Bombyx mori: one gene and its partner. The protein of the gene in region 1 purifies or fractionates together with the protein of each later gene. This does not show direct contact. Links are inferred from orthologs where the notes say so. Each region holds a gene or a part of one and is shown on either strand. Other genes may lie near its edges.

The links. Proteins that work in one complex are often made in the same cells at the same time.
Region 2: the proteins of nucleolar protein 56 (region 1) and ribosome biogenesis regulatory protein homolog purify together in Homo sapiens (co-immunoprecipitation; 3 studies listed by BioGRID and IntAct, with this or other methods). This does not show direct contact. The link is inferred for Bombyx mori from reciprocal best matches to the Homo sapiens genes NOP56 and RRS1.

Annotation. Positions count from the first base shown.
Region 1 is NC_085132.1:2,377,872-2,384,276, forward strand, and holds the end of nucleolar protein 56, read right to left. Parts: intron 5,952-6,405; coding exon 5,753-5,951; intron 5,419-5,752; coding exon 5,155-5,418; intron 4,735-5,154; coding exon 4,580-4,734; intron 4,139-4,579; coding exon 3,968-4,138; intron 3,192-3,967; coding exon 2,968-3,191; 3' UTR 2,872-2,967; downstream 1-2,871. Other genes in the region: DNA-directed RNA polymerase I subunit RPA2, read left to right, coding at 565-729, 1,238-1,417. UniProt on the Homo sapiens protein: Involved in the early to middle stages of 60S ribosomal subunit biogenesis. Required for the biogenesis of box C/D snoRNAs such U3, U8 and U14 snoRNAs. Part of the small subunit (SSU) processome, first precursor of the small eukaryotic ribosomal subunit.
Region 2 is NC_085123.1:3,056,733-3,065,040, reverse strand, and holds ribosome biogenesis regulatory protein homolog, read right to left. Parts: upstream 4,727-8,308; 5' UTR 4,323-4,726; coding exon 4,174-4,322; intron 4,050-4,173; coding exon 3,777-4,049; intron 3,546-3,776; coding exon 3,326-3,545; intron 2,943-3,325; coding exon 2,680-2,942; intron 2,555-2,679; coding exon 2,401-2,554; 3' UTR 2,348-2,400; downstream 1-2,347. Other genes in the region: DNA excision repair protein ERCC-6, read left to right, coding at 5,862-8,308. UniProt on the Homo sapiens protein: Involved in ribosomal large subunit assembly. May regulate the localization of the 5S RNP/5S ribonucleoprotein particle to the nucleolus.

The DNA.
Region 1 (6,405 bases):
GAAATCAGACCGCTCTTGTAATAGGGAATGCTGTGTATAATAGATGCGTCATCTTATTTATATTAATTTATATAAAAATTTTACTTCATTAAAATATATGACACTACACGTTACTAACGCTCGCGCTGGCCTGTAACAGGTATACTGCGCGCATTCACTCTCGCTCTGTCTCTTTCTAGCAACCTTGTTGGAAGTCGCTTTAGAAGTTTCACTTCAAAAAACCAAAAAAAAAAAGCTTTATTTAGAATCCCTTCTTTTACTATATTGGTGGTGTGTGGTCGGTAGAGGCCCGAAACGTTCGATACGTTGGACTGACCAGAGCTGCACTACCCTCGACATCACAGTTCACGATGCTCTACACTCGGCGGCAGATAGAGGCAAATAGCGTGGAATGGTCCGGAATAAACTCTTGTTGCGAGGAGGTCACGACCCTCGGTATTGAGGAAACCGAAGCAAGAAGAAGGTCAGAGACAAATCTCTATGGAGAGACCGTCTAGTGCCGTCGGGAACAACATCCCGGTTTGAAGGGTGGGGCGGCTGTTATACGGCGGTGTGTGTGTACAGGTCCGCACCACCGGGCCCGTGGACGCGCTGACCCGGCAGCCGGTGAAGGGGCGGCGGCGCGGGGGCGGCGTGCGGCTGGGGGAGATGGAGCGGGACGCGCTGGTGTCGCACGGCGCCGCCTTCCTGCTGCAGGACCGCCTGCTGCGCTGCTCCGACGAGACAGAGGTCGGTGACGTACTGCTTGCTCTTCATATCGATACCTCACCGACCTAACTTTACTTTACCTTAACTTTTAATTTAACCTTTAAAGAAATATGACTTTCTAAAACGATACCGTAGATTGTAGGATTTTTTTTTCCTACCTATGCTGGGTTTTTTTTATTGTTTGGCTGTGTGAACGAGCTCACAGCCCACCTGGTGTTAAGTGGTTACCGGAGCCCATAGACATCTATAACGTAAATGCGCCACCCACCTTGAGATATAGTTCTAAGGTCTCAGTATAGTCACAACGGCTGCCCCACCCTTCAAACCGAAACGCATTACTGCTTCACGGCAAAAATAGGTTAGCCGGTGGTACCTACCCGCACGGACTCACAAGAGGTCCTACCACCAGTAATTACGCAAATTATATTTTTTTGTGTGTAGCGTGTTTTAATCTCAGTATGTACTTGAGTTGTGCTGTAATGCGACGTGTTAGCGTCAGTACTAAGCGTGTGTGTGTGTGCGGCGCCAGATGGCGGTGTGCACGTCGTGCGGCAGCGTGGCGGGCGCGCGGGGGGGCGGCGCGTGCGCGTGCGGGGGGCGGGCGGGCGCGGTGCGGGCGCCGCACGTCTACAAGCTGTTCGCGACGCAACTCGCGGCGTTGCACGTCAACTGCAGCCTCAAGTGCGTCGACAAAACTATACAACAATAAATCCGAATTGTAATTAAATACATTGCCTGGTTTTATTTCAAACGAGCTTCTAATTCCCTAATATGCACTGATATTTGAGGGCAAAGAAAACATTTTAAAATTACATTTACAAAGAACATAAAGACTCTTTATTAAAAAGTTTTCTTCAAGTTCACCAATACAGATTAACTAAAGAGATTTAAAAAGGGTAAGCAACAGAAATATAATCTATGTATCAAATGACATTTAAAGCAAACAGGGGACTTTTTGGCGGGAACGCGAGGAGTGAAGTTGTGTGATTTGTTTTATTTTGTCTATTTAGTGTTTCTTCGGGTTTAAATGTGTAATAATGGTGGTTTATTAACTGTTTAATATGTGTGAAAGTGCACAAATGTGGGAAAATGAAACAAAGCCGCTGGACGTAACTTCTCGGGATCCTACAAAAAGTCCACTGAAAAAATCTTAGTAAATGACCACCATTTTACTGAGTTTATATTTCATCCCATATCATTTCATTTAATTTCATCCCAGTTGATTAATGTCTCAAATTAATCATCTTCATTTCATTTCATCCCATAATATCATTTTTCATAAAATTGAGAATATAAATTAAAAGAAGACTTGACTTAAAGATCTCAGTTACCAGGTCATAAAATCCCTTAAAAAAATAAAGGAAACAGTTTTATTAAAATAGATAAGTAAACAATATTAAATTTGTTTTTTTAAATGTACCATTCTGTTTTTAATAAAGTTTAATGGGTAGACAAACTCACAAACTACAAGTCGAGGGAACTTATAGATGTCGACGTTGTAGACATGAGTTCGAAGTCAACTGTGTTTTATACAAGGCTATGTTATGAAATAATTACTGCTCGTATGCTTTCTGAGGACTCCACTTGTGATATTTAGATCTTATTTAATTATAGATTTATTTTATCCCAATATATGGTCGCATCTCTAATACAGAAAAGTGCAGTACTAAATTGTTTAAAATTTATAATCTTTTTAAATAAAATAATGCACAAAGTATAGTGTTATTTCACGAATCTCTACTTCGGTTAAATTTTCTTTAACTGAATTCGTGGTACATATTGTATCTCGATACGAATTAGGTAATAATTATTTTTACTTTTTTTCGCATCACTCGATACTCGATTCTAATTCCACAAAACAAATGAGCATTGGCCAGATAGTATATGTAGATTTGTTAAAAAAAAACATCGTTTGTATAGTACTAAGTATTTAATCTATTTTACGTTAAAAAATATGGTGGGTATTACGTTCTATCAAGTGTATAATCTATGGTTCTATCTTTCGTTTTGACATTTCTCATTCTTACTCTATGTATGTTTTATACAGGCCAAGGTAATGCGCCATAACAAATTGAATTCTTAAATTAAAAGTGGAATTGACAGATGCATCGGGCGACGCTTAGTATTTGATTAAAAGTAGGGTTAAAAGAAATAACTCCAAGATAGCAGTTTTGTTGGTCCATAAAACCGTCTGAAATACTTTATTTTTAAAGGTACAATATCTTAACACCAATAGTAATTAAATTCTACATTATTCGACTAATCTTCGTCCATGGCCACACTCTCGTCTAATTCGGACTTCTTCTTCTTCTTTTTCTTTTTCTTCTTGGCACTGGCCTCGGCGTCAACAGCCTTCTGAACTTCGTCCATAGCTTCCTTCATCACTTCAATATTCTTTTTGGGAATATCACCGGTCTCATAGAATTTCAGACGGTCTTCTACTTGCTGACGGAGTTTTTCACCAAATACAGCTGATTGCATTTCTGTAACATTTCAAGAGTTATTTTGAGTCTTTCCAAAATAAAATATGTATATCATTCTTCTATGGATGGGAAAAAGGTCCCACCAGCTTTTGAGCTGTTACTATATCGCATAAAAAAAATACAATTTTGTCTGAGAATTTAATAAAGAATACATATCGACGCTTGAAAGGCAAACGTGACTAAGCGACAATGCGTGAACTTTACAGTAGGCTAATTTAAAGTTGAAATACCTGAAAAAAATTCTATTTTAACGAATCTAGCTGTAGGATTGAAATGATTTTAATAGAAATATATATATTTTTTGCACACCGAATATGGTTATTGCCTATCGTTTATGTACAAAGCAATTATTGTCGCTTAGTCGTTTGCCTTTCAAGCGTCGATATTGAAATATGTATAAACTTTTTTAACTTTTTATCGATCTATCTAAGTACATATTTTTAAAATTTTCCTTTTTTTATACAATTATATAGGTAGTTTATGAAATCTCAGTAAGGCAATGTAGCGAACATTTAAAAACTGCCATAATTAATTACTTATGACAGTTACTGGATATAGCAATTAATATAGCACGACCCTTATTACCGCAAGTTATTTACAATACTGACGGTAGATCACAGTGTGCCTAGATATCTTTCAGATAAATTTGTTGCTTGTGAAGGCTTGGTGGTAAGGCTCAAGAAAAGCTGTTAATAGAAAAAAAAACGTAAAACAATATCGTTCATTGTTTAAACTTTTATGACAATTAAGTTTTCTAGTCAGAAAAATTTAATTACCAGAGAAACAATCGATCCTGGATGCAATTGAGCACTTATTGGCCAGATATCTGCTGATCCGACCTTTGTTCTTCAGTCCGGCACGTCCAATGAACGTGGAGTGGTATAGCAGACCATATTTTGGAGTATTCGAACGTGTCTTCAGAGCTCGGAAGAGAGCTTTTTCTGCACCTGAATTTTGTAATAAAATCATTTGTATAGAAAATTGTTATCTTACAATAGGGGAAATACAACAAAAATGTAAATCATGTTGGAGATATTTTCAATATTTGATATTTTATACTTATTTATTCTTAGTAATGGTTATTAGAGAAATTGTATTTATTATAATTACTAGCGACCCGCCCTCGCTTCGCTTCGGAAACTGTAATTTATTATTGATTTCTCCACTATTTAATGGATGTTATGATACATATAAACCTTCCTCTTCAATCACTTTATCTATTAAGAAAAAACGCATCAAAATCCGTTGCGTAGTTTTAAAGATTTAAGCATACATAGGGATATAGGGACAGACTTTGTTTTATACTATGTTGTGGTTATCAGTGTATATTTAAAATTGTATGTTGATGATCAGCTAGACTTGTAAATTGAAAAATGTGACCAACTTACCCAATATCTGCAATGTAGATGCGGGATACTTGGCAAGGTTGGTCAGGGAGCCAGCCTTGGAGATCAGCCTGGCTCCAACTTGATCTCCAACCAACGTAGACAAATTAGGTGCTACGGAGTTCATCTTACTATGCAGGTATTCTGAAATCTGTTTTCTGTGGGGACACAATGTTAATTGAAATTATTAGTTATTTCTTGATGTTAACAGATTTTCAATAGGTCCTTTTTAAGATTGAAATTAAATGACAATTTCGAATCAAATAAGACCACATTGGACTCCAGCATCAATATCGCTATCCACTGCGCAGATAGGATAGAATGGAGGAACATAGTTCTAACAACAATGTTTCGTAAAGGTCACAACCCTCAGCACTGGGGAACACAATGCAAAGAGAAGGAGGAGATTTAAATTATTGATAGCATAACAGAGTAAAATAGTGAACAAGTAACTTTTTAATTTCTTTTAAATTTTTATCCACATGATACTCTTATAAGATTTTAAAATATATGCTATCATGAATCAACAAACAAAGTATTAAGCATCTATTTAAATTTTAAATAAACATTATACTAACCTATAATTGCTGAGTGCTACTACTCTGCCAGCAAACATTTGGATGTTAATCAAGTCAACTGGTGAAATATCCATTCCCATGGACATTTTCGAGGCATCTATGATAGCCTGCGCCTTCTCGGAGTCTCCCAGGATCTCAGTGAGCGGTTCTAATGACTCTTCGCACAGGGTCTTCCTATCTTTTATGAACTCGGCGCATTTTGTGTACAGGTGATTTTCAGGAACAATTGACACAAGCTCCGGGAAGTGATAGGAATACCATTCTCTAGAAACAGTACAAAATTAGTAAGTCTACAAGATTTAGTAACAACATTTTCACAATATTTTATATTTTTGTACTAGTGGTACTAATTTTTGTACTCTTGGGAGTCCGCACGGGTAGGTTCCACCACCCCGCCTATTTCCGCCGTGAAGCAGTAATGCGTTTCGGTTCGAAGGGTGGGGTTGCCGTTGTTACTATACTGAGACCTTAGAACTTATATCTCGAGGTGGGTGGCGCATTTACGTTGTAGATGTGTATGGGCTCCAGTAACCACTTAAATGCAGGTGGGCTATGAGCTCGTTTATCCATCTATGCAATATAAAAAAAAAAACCTCACCTTATTCTCATGGAGAAAGTGTTAACATCTTTGTCAAGTTGATCGAGCAGGGCTATTGATTGTATGATCATGTTGTCCACTCGGTGAACATTGAACTTGACACGAGCTCGTGAGTATGAGTGGCCAAGACCAAGCTGTGCCACACTGCATGCTTTGAGGGTAAGGCCTTTGATGAGCGAGTGGAAGTGATAACGTATGCCTGTTTAAAGAACAAAGAAAACTTAGTATTTTCACATTTGTCGTCTTAATTCTGACAAATGACATTAATTACCTCACCAAATACGATTAAGATCCAAAGTGAGATAAAGAAACATAGATTCACTGGTGGTAAGACCTCTTGTGAGTCCGCACGGGTAGGTACCACCACCCCGCCTATTTCCGCCGTGAAGCAGTAATGCGTTTCAGTTCGAAGGGTGGGGTAGCCGTTGTAACTATACTGAGACCTTAGAACTTATATCTCAAGGTGGGTGGCGCATTTACGTTGTAGATGTCTATGGGCTGCAGTAACCACTTAACACCAGGTGGGCTGTGAGCTCGTCCACCTATCTAAGCAATAAATAAATAAAAAAATTTACCACAAAGCCATCTAAATACCAATTTTTCATTTAACAATGAAAGAAGAACTCTATGATATTGAAAATATCCATTGTATA
Region 2 (8,308 bases), on another chromosome or scaffold:
TAGTTATTACATATAGAAATTATTGTACAAATTTATAATATTATAATGTTTTTAAATATTTTGGACATGTTTATTAATAGGGTTTAATAGAGATGAATTTTCATCAACAAAATAAAGTCGAGAAAAATCAGAAGTAGGTACAGACAGTTTGAAAGATCATCTACATTTCTGCAGGATCCAATACAAGCTACGTATTTGTGTTGCTAAGTCCGACTTTTTTTGTTCAATAGAACTAAGATTCCGTGACAATTCCCTATTTGCATTGACCTCATGACGCTTTTCATGAATACATGATTGGTTTTCGGTAGAAACAGACAGGGCACTAACAATAAATCTGGCGGGCTCTGAACCAATGTCTTACCAGCAGCTGGTAAATTAAATGTAACTTAATCAAGTTGGGGAATTGACAATTTACTTTTGAGAAAAAGAAACTACGAAGTTGTCTGTATGTACCTTCATAACCTTAATCTGTGAACTCTATGAACCTCTATGAACCGCTAAGACCGGTAGACTAATTACGCGATTCCATTTTTATTATGAGTTATGTTATAGTTTATTATGACTGTCCAAAAGATTTGAAAACACGGGTTTGTAGTAAGTAGCTAAACATTAGAAGCTTCCATTAATAAACTTTATTATAATTAGAATTTGATGTAGATAAGTAGGTACGCTTAACGACGAATTATGTAGGTTATAAACTGATTTACAGTATTACAAATTTTACCTTCTCCTTCTAAATGTTGATTGTGAAGATTTTTAATTCTTCGTTAGTGTCTAGTCAAATTCCATAGAAACAAATGTAATTAAAGCAATAGAAAAAATACAGACTTTTATTTTATTAAATGTGTATGGTTGGCCAAACAAGGTAATTTTGGAGGTGCTGTCTTTGTTAGATTATAATTAAATTTAGTTACATGCCAGTAAAGTAATGTAGATGACAGATTGAATTACGGATTTACGGCTCAAGACCGATAGTTGAAGTTGTGTAGAGTGCGGGCTCCAGTATTGGCCTAAAACTAAGTCGGATAGTCTTCGAAACTGTCTAGAGAAATAAAAACAATATCCTGACTCTTTCTATATTAATGAATTTCATACCAAACTAGCTTTTGTCCGCGACTTCGTCCGCGTGGAATAGTTACTTTGCCACAACGCTAAAATTCGATGCCTCCAATGAACACTACTCTAACTGAAAATTTTGAAATTTTCGTTTTTCACGCAAATCGCTTCACTATTTTAAAAGTATTACAATTAATCATTATTGATGGGGTTCGAAGCAAGAGTAAATCAGCTAGTTACACAAAAAAACCATAAATATATCTGCAATAATAAAGATTTTATCGACTTTTTTCGTTTAAACGCTCCTCCTGTAAATCTATGAATTTAGAGTTAGCGTAGTGTTCATTGGAGGCATCGAAATTTTACCTGCGACTTCATTTACGTAGAAAGAAAAAAACGATTTAGAAACATTCTTTATTGGTATTCCGTTTGTATTGGTCTTAGCGTATAGCCTATAGCCTTCCTCAATAAATGGGCTATCTGACACTGAAATAATTTATCAAATCGGACTAGTAGTTCCTGAGATTAGCGCGTTCAAACAAACAAACAAACTCTTCAGCTTTATAATATTAGTATAGTAGATACCTCGAAATTGGCTTTTTTTTAATTTCTTTTATTGCTAAGTTGGATGGATGGACTCACGGCCCACCCGGTGTTAAGTGGTCACCGGAGCTCATAGACATTACGCATGTAAATGCGGTCACCCACCTTGGACATGTATTCGAAGTCTCAATTTTTAAGTACAACGGCTACCCTACCTTCCAAACCAAGGTAGGATGGTGATACCTACCCGTGCGGGCTTACAAGACGGCCTCACACCAGTAATTACACAAACTGGTTTCATTTTTATTACACGATGATATTCCTTCATCGTGAAGCATTCATGAACATTTGTTAGGTTAGTACGTAACTATTTCATCAGAAAAATTTGTACATGCCTGCGGGACTCGAACACTGGCATAGTCGCATCACTCAGTGCAGAACAGTGCTTCGCAGAACCTACCGCCGGATCGGAAACGCGACCCGGAAACGACCCGCGACGCGAAAAGATCCGACGAGAAACTCTGTGACTTGTGTCTGTGGGTTAATTTACTCGCCTAGCCCTGCGCCGCAAGCGACAGTTTCGACGAGAATCACTCGATACGAGAGTATTGGAGACACCTTGTTCTTTTAGGCCACGACGACTTCACTCTTGTTACGTTCAAAACCAAACATATTTTTCGATTTAAAACAATGAACGCCTCATTTTTAAGGGTTTTATTAATAGTTAAGGAAAACAAAAAAACAAGTGTCAGTATTTTAGTTTTTATTAGTAATACATTCTGTAAGGCTTATATCATAGTTCTATCTCCTTTTCCGTCCAGTAGATTTCTTATTTGGTGCCCTTTTTCCCTTTCCTGCTTTAGGTTTCTTGGCTGAGAAATTTGTTGCATTGCCTTTACCTTGAGTTTTACGTTTTCCTAAGCCGGGTTTCATATTTTTCTTTTCGTGTGATCTCCTAATGATAATACAAACAATAGAAATCAGCTCATTTACTTCGAAGTAATAAAATAAAAACTTTAAAAAAAAAATTCTGATTATATCATTTTCAAATTTACAATAAAATAAAAATAATTTACTTACTTGACTTCCTCTTCATTTATACTTTTCGCTACAGCTTTATCCATATCAATTTTTGGCCTCTTACTCAGTATATTATCAAGTAGATTCAGGTTGTATTCTTTTTCTGCTGCCGGTGTTGGTATAGGTGCTTTACGTTTCCTCTCCTTGCCTGGGATTAGCTCATGTACACCTTTACCGCGTGCTTCTTTCTCTTTGGGTAATTTATCTTGGAATTTTCCAAGAGAAGCCGTTGATGCTTTTGCTACACTTGCTGCTGTGGATAACTGGAAAATTATGAAAAATAATTGTAGATTTATGCATTCATATATTTATAAAATCATTTAAATTATTATCTTTAAACAATAATGTAATGGATAAGCAAAACAAGATGAATGTAATAGTTTAGCAATAAAATTGCAACAGTTAAAAAGTTGTAGTATATCTAATTCTAACTTAATTACAAACAGCAAATGCTGCTTGGCTGTAAGAAAGATCAGGTATGCTACTTTGAGATCATCTAGAATAGAAAAAGGAAAATTGTCCTTTCATTGAATTAGACATGTATTTATTAAAGTATACTATTATCATTGTATAAGATGTCTAATTTGAAACTGAAAAAGGAAAAATTATAATTCAGTACAATATATATTTTTCTACTTGATCCTACCTGTGTGGCAGAAGCTTTATCTGAAGTGACAGGAAGCCCCACCCTTGGTATTTTAACCTTTTTGGCTCTAGCGAGATTCTTAAGTCTCTGTAATTCATTCTTTGCAACCTTTTCTGATTTTTCACCGGCTTTCTTTTCATACATATCTGTCATAGGATCTAAATTCTGTGGGACTTCTATAAGCCAGTTCTTCTCTTTTTCAGCTGCAGTTTTCTTGAAACTGATGATACAGAATTATATAGTCAATTATAGATATAGTTGATTGCCGACAATAATAAACGGACAATGTGTTTTACAACATCCTGGCTATTGGTTTGACTATAAAATACAGATTTTAAAATGATGATATCAATTTTTAATTTCTGCCTAAAAACTTTTGTAAATAAGGTTTTTATGGTTTGTGTTTATAGTTTTCTAGACAACTTTCATTATTCTACTATTGAAAACTCACCCATATAAAGGAACCCATTTCTGCAGCTGTTCATCCCATTGAAGTTTGTCTTTCTTTTTCTTATTAATACCCTTGGCTTTTGCGAACTCTTGCCATTTAGTTAATGGCTTAGGTACAGGCACTGGCTTGGCTCGGGGTAGGATTGTCGTAGGTTGTGGCAATCGAACTACTATGGCCTCTTCGATTCTTTCAGTGGGAAGCTCCCATACTTTATTCAGTAGTAGCTGAGCATTGTCACGGGTCAATGCAAGTAAATATGAATCTTTGTTTGTCCTAAACAACACATAAAATCAATTTAATTTGATAACAAAACATGTGCTGTTAACTAAATTTATGTTTAATCCTGAAATTAATAGTGACTATGCGTTTGCTAAAATGAGATAAGATGAAGACTTACTTCAGCGTTTTTATGTCCAAATCGTTTGTGTCAGAGGCCAATAGTGAACCTAGGTCGAATTCTAATTCCAAATGTTTTTCGACCGTTATTGGTTTATATTTATCTGCTTTCTTTTGTTCCCTTTCTAATATCTCATTTACAATATCCATTGTTATCAGAACACTTCCTTTTTACACATTAGAATTAACAAGCTTATTTGACTTGAGCTAATATTTTCCTTGCTTTACTTTTGTTGAAAAATAACCTCAAAATGTATTTTTTTTTTACAATTTAATTACATATATTTATGATTTCGTAGTTTTCTGGGCAACCACGTTTTGAACTCTGGCATAGATAATAAATATTTAACACATGTCATCATATTGGTAGCTTATTGTAGTAGATAATCTATGCACGTAGAATAATTATTTTAGAATTTTTATGTACATACATATATATTGAAACGATGGAACTCAAGTTCATTTTTATTTTATAATCTATAAATATTTATGTATTCAGTTCTATTACCGCGCATCACTGTACTGTACAGTAACTAAAAGGTGTAGGGGCTTCGTTCCCTTTGTATCACCAGCGAGTTAATAAATGAAGATTATGGAGCATGTCCAAACAGGAACAGGTATAGTGATATAAAGTATAAACGAAATGTATTATGCATAGCCCTCTACCAAGGTTTAATGATAGATAAGACATAAACATAAACGTTACATAGTAACTTTTTAATAATCTGTAACTCTGCCTCAACACTCGCGTATGACGTCGCACTGTGAAGAAACACCATGATCTGCGCCAGAACTGTGTCCCTCCACACTCACAAAGCTTCACAGCTCAGCCTTGTTCGCGATTATGATCGACGACGACGTGATTTCTGCTGCTGCTGTGTATTCTACATACACTTCACTTTCTTTCTATACAATCTATAGCTCGACTTAAGTGATTCTTTATTTTTCTTTAACTCTGACTCAGTTACAGGTGTATTTAAGATAGCACTTATGCGTGTCCAGGCATCATGAACCTTATTCTCATTTTTGTGGTCTTGATGTTTCGGCTTAGGTTTATGGCAATAAATGAGAGTCAGTTCCAGATCATTATTCCACCATTTATATTAGGATCAATCACCAACGCACGCATAACCACTCTACGATGTCCTGTACGCTACTGCGGTAAGCTGCGAGTGTGGATACATTCACGTTCGCGTGCCGCAAACCCTTTGTCGCGGGCCATAAAACCGACACAGATCGGGGAGCGACGCGCGAACGAGAAGGCGTGAACAACATCTACACTCGTGAATTCGCAGTTGTCGCGTTCGCGCCGCGAGTGTAGAGCCGACTTGACGCAGAGTAGGAAGGAATACCGTACTATAGCCATATTAGCCATGGAGTTAATAAGTTCAACTCTAGCTCTATGATTGTAGCCATAGATTATACACTTAAATTGTAGCGTAACTAGCGTAGCATTATAAACTCTAAAAAAAGAAAAATATCGCTTAACTGACATTTTCAATTAAAATAAATGTTTTAATTATTCTAATGCTCGTAGGATTTGTTAACTTAAGATTAAGTAAGATTAACTTGTTAAATTAAAGATTAAACACTTAATATTTGAGTTTAGTTTATTATTGTGTACAAAAAGCAATAAATACATTACCTAAATAAACTGAATTTCAATGTCAAGAACTAAAACTAACCCAAATGGTGGACATAAACAAATATTTAGAAATGCAACTTGAATTAGCGAAAAAGCAAATTGAGAGGAAAAATAGTCAGAAAGAAGATGTATCAACTAAAAGCAAATCTGCTGCTGATTACATATCGCAAAAACAGGCAAAGACTCTGTCAAAATTTCCCCACAATCAAAAAGTAGATGTAAAAACTACTGTGACATCAGGGACTTCAACTGAAGGACACCTCGATGACATCGATTTTGTACCTTCCGATGAGGAAGACGACAGTATCCATAATTTTCCGCTTACTGCGTGTTCTTCTCGTACCAAACAGAATATAAACCGAATTGTTGACGACGGTGATATTAAACAATACAATTTAAGGGTAGAGGTTTGGCGTGAAGGATTAAATACTGTGAAAAGCGGTACATATGAAGGATGCACGTTAACCGCTGACATACAGTACATCCTGGATGGTAATAAAGATAGCGATGAAATGCATGAACTCCAGAATGGTCTATTAGTACCAAAATATATTTGGAAACAGTTATATAAATTTCAAAGAACTGGTGTTAAATGGCTTTGGGAGTTGCATCAAGTGGATTCTGGTGGATTGTTAGGTGATGAAATGGGACTTGGTAAAACAATACAAGTCATTGCATTCCTAACTGCCCTTTCAAAAACCAATTTAGGATCATGGGGTGGTCTTGGTCCGAGTATCATTATCACACCTGCAACAGTTATATATCAATGGGTATCTCATTTTCATTATTGGTGCCCCCTGCTCAGAGTAGCTGTACTGCATCACACTGGCTCTCATGCTGGTAATCACCATAAACTATTAAGGGATATACACAGTGCTCATGGAATCTTGTTAGTAACATATGCAGGCATAGTAAAGTATCATAAAGAACTTAATGCTTATAGTTGGCATTATTTAATTTTGGATGAAGGACACAAAATACGTAATCCTGATACACAAGTAAGTAAAATTGTAAAAAAAATCCAGACACCACACAGATTGTTAATAACAGGCTCACCAATGCAGAACAGTTTGCAGGAACTGTGGTCATTATTTGATTTTATGAGGCCAGGTTTGTTGGGGACATACAATGCATTCATAGAACACTTTGCAGTTCCAATCACTCAAGGAGGCTATGCTAATGCTACTGAAATACAGGAAGCTACTGCCATGGAAATAGCTATTGCTTTGAAAAATATGATCACTCCTTACATGCTGAGGAGAACTAAGGCTGAGGTACAAGGACATATCAAACTCCCAGAAAAGAATGAACAAGTTCTATTCTGTTCTTTAACACAAGAGCAAAGAGATCTTTATATGGGTTACCTTATGAGTAATACAGTGAGAAGCATCTTAGACAAAGAAAATAAATTTGGAAATCCATTAAGAGCGAGGCTACTAGTGGCTCTGTCAACGCTAAGGAAAATATGCAATCATCCTGATATTTATCTCTACGAAGCTCAAGAAGATGAAGAACAGATAGATGAAGAGATATTTGGCCATTGGAAGAGATCTGGAAAAATGACTGTTGTTAATTCATTACTTAAAATATGGAAAAAACAGGGACATAGAGCTCTCATATTCTCTCAGTCAAGAGTAATGCTGTGTCTGTTAGAACAGTATTTACAAAATCAAGGCTTTACATACCTCAAAATGGATGGTACAGTTAATGTTGGCCAAAGGCAAAACTTGATTAAAACTTTTAATGATAACACTGATTATTTAGTTTTTCTTTCCACAACTAGAGTAGGTGGCTTAGGTGTAAATTTAACTGGAGCCGACAGAGTGATAATATATGATCCTGATTGGAATCCTGCAACAGATGATCAAGCAAAGGAAAGAGCATGGAGGATAGGCCAGTCTAGAAATGTAACAGTTTATAGATTGTTGTCAGCTGGGACTATAGAGGAAAAGATTTATCAGAGGCAGATATTCAAACATTTCTTGAGTAATAAAATTTTTGTGGACCCAAATCAAAAGAATTTTTTAACCACCAGTACATTACAGGGACTGTTCACTCTTGAAGAGCTTAACCGTGAAGGAGATACTGAAACTGCATCAATTTTTAAACATACCAAAATTATCAATAAAACCAATAAGAATGATAATGACTTGGATATTTCATCTAAAACAAAGTTAGAAGCCATGAAAAGATTAGCAAAAGAAATAAGTAAAAAAATATCAAAAGAATCCATGAAGGGAACACAGGAAAGTGATCCACGTGAAGAATATAAAAAGAAAAGAGAACAATTATTATGTCCACCTAAAGTGGAAGAACCAGATATTAATTTAGTTGATGATAAAATAACCAATGTAGCTTTTGAAGATGTTTTGTCAGAATTAGATATTGTAAAAATGCATGCAAAGAAAGATTATGAAGAACAATTGTTGAAAAGTGTACTAGAAGATAATGAACAAGATATTAAAGAAGTAGATGAAGAGAAACCTACCAA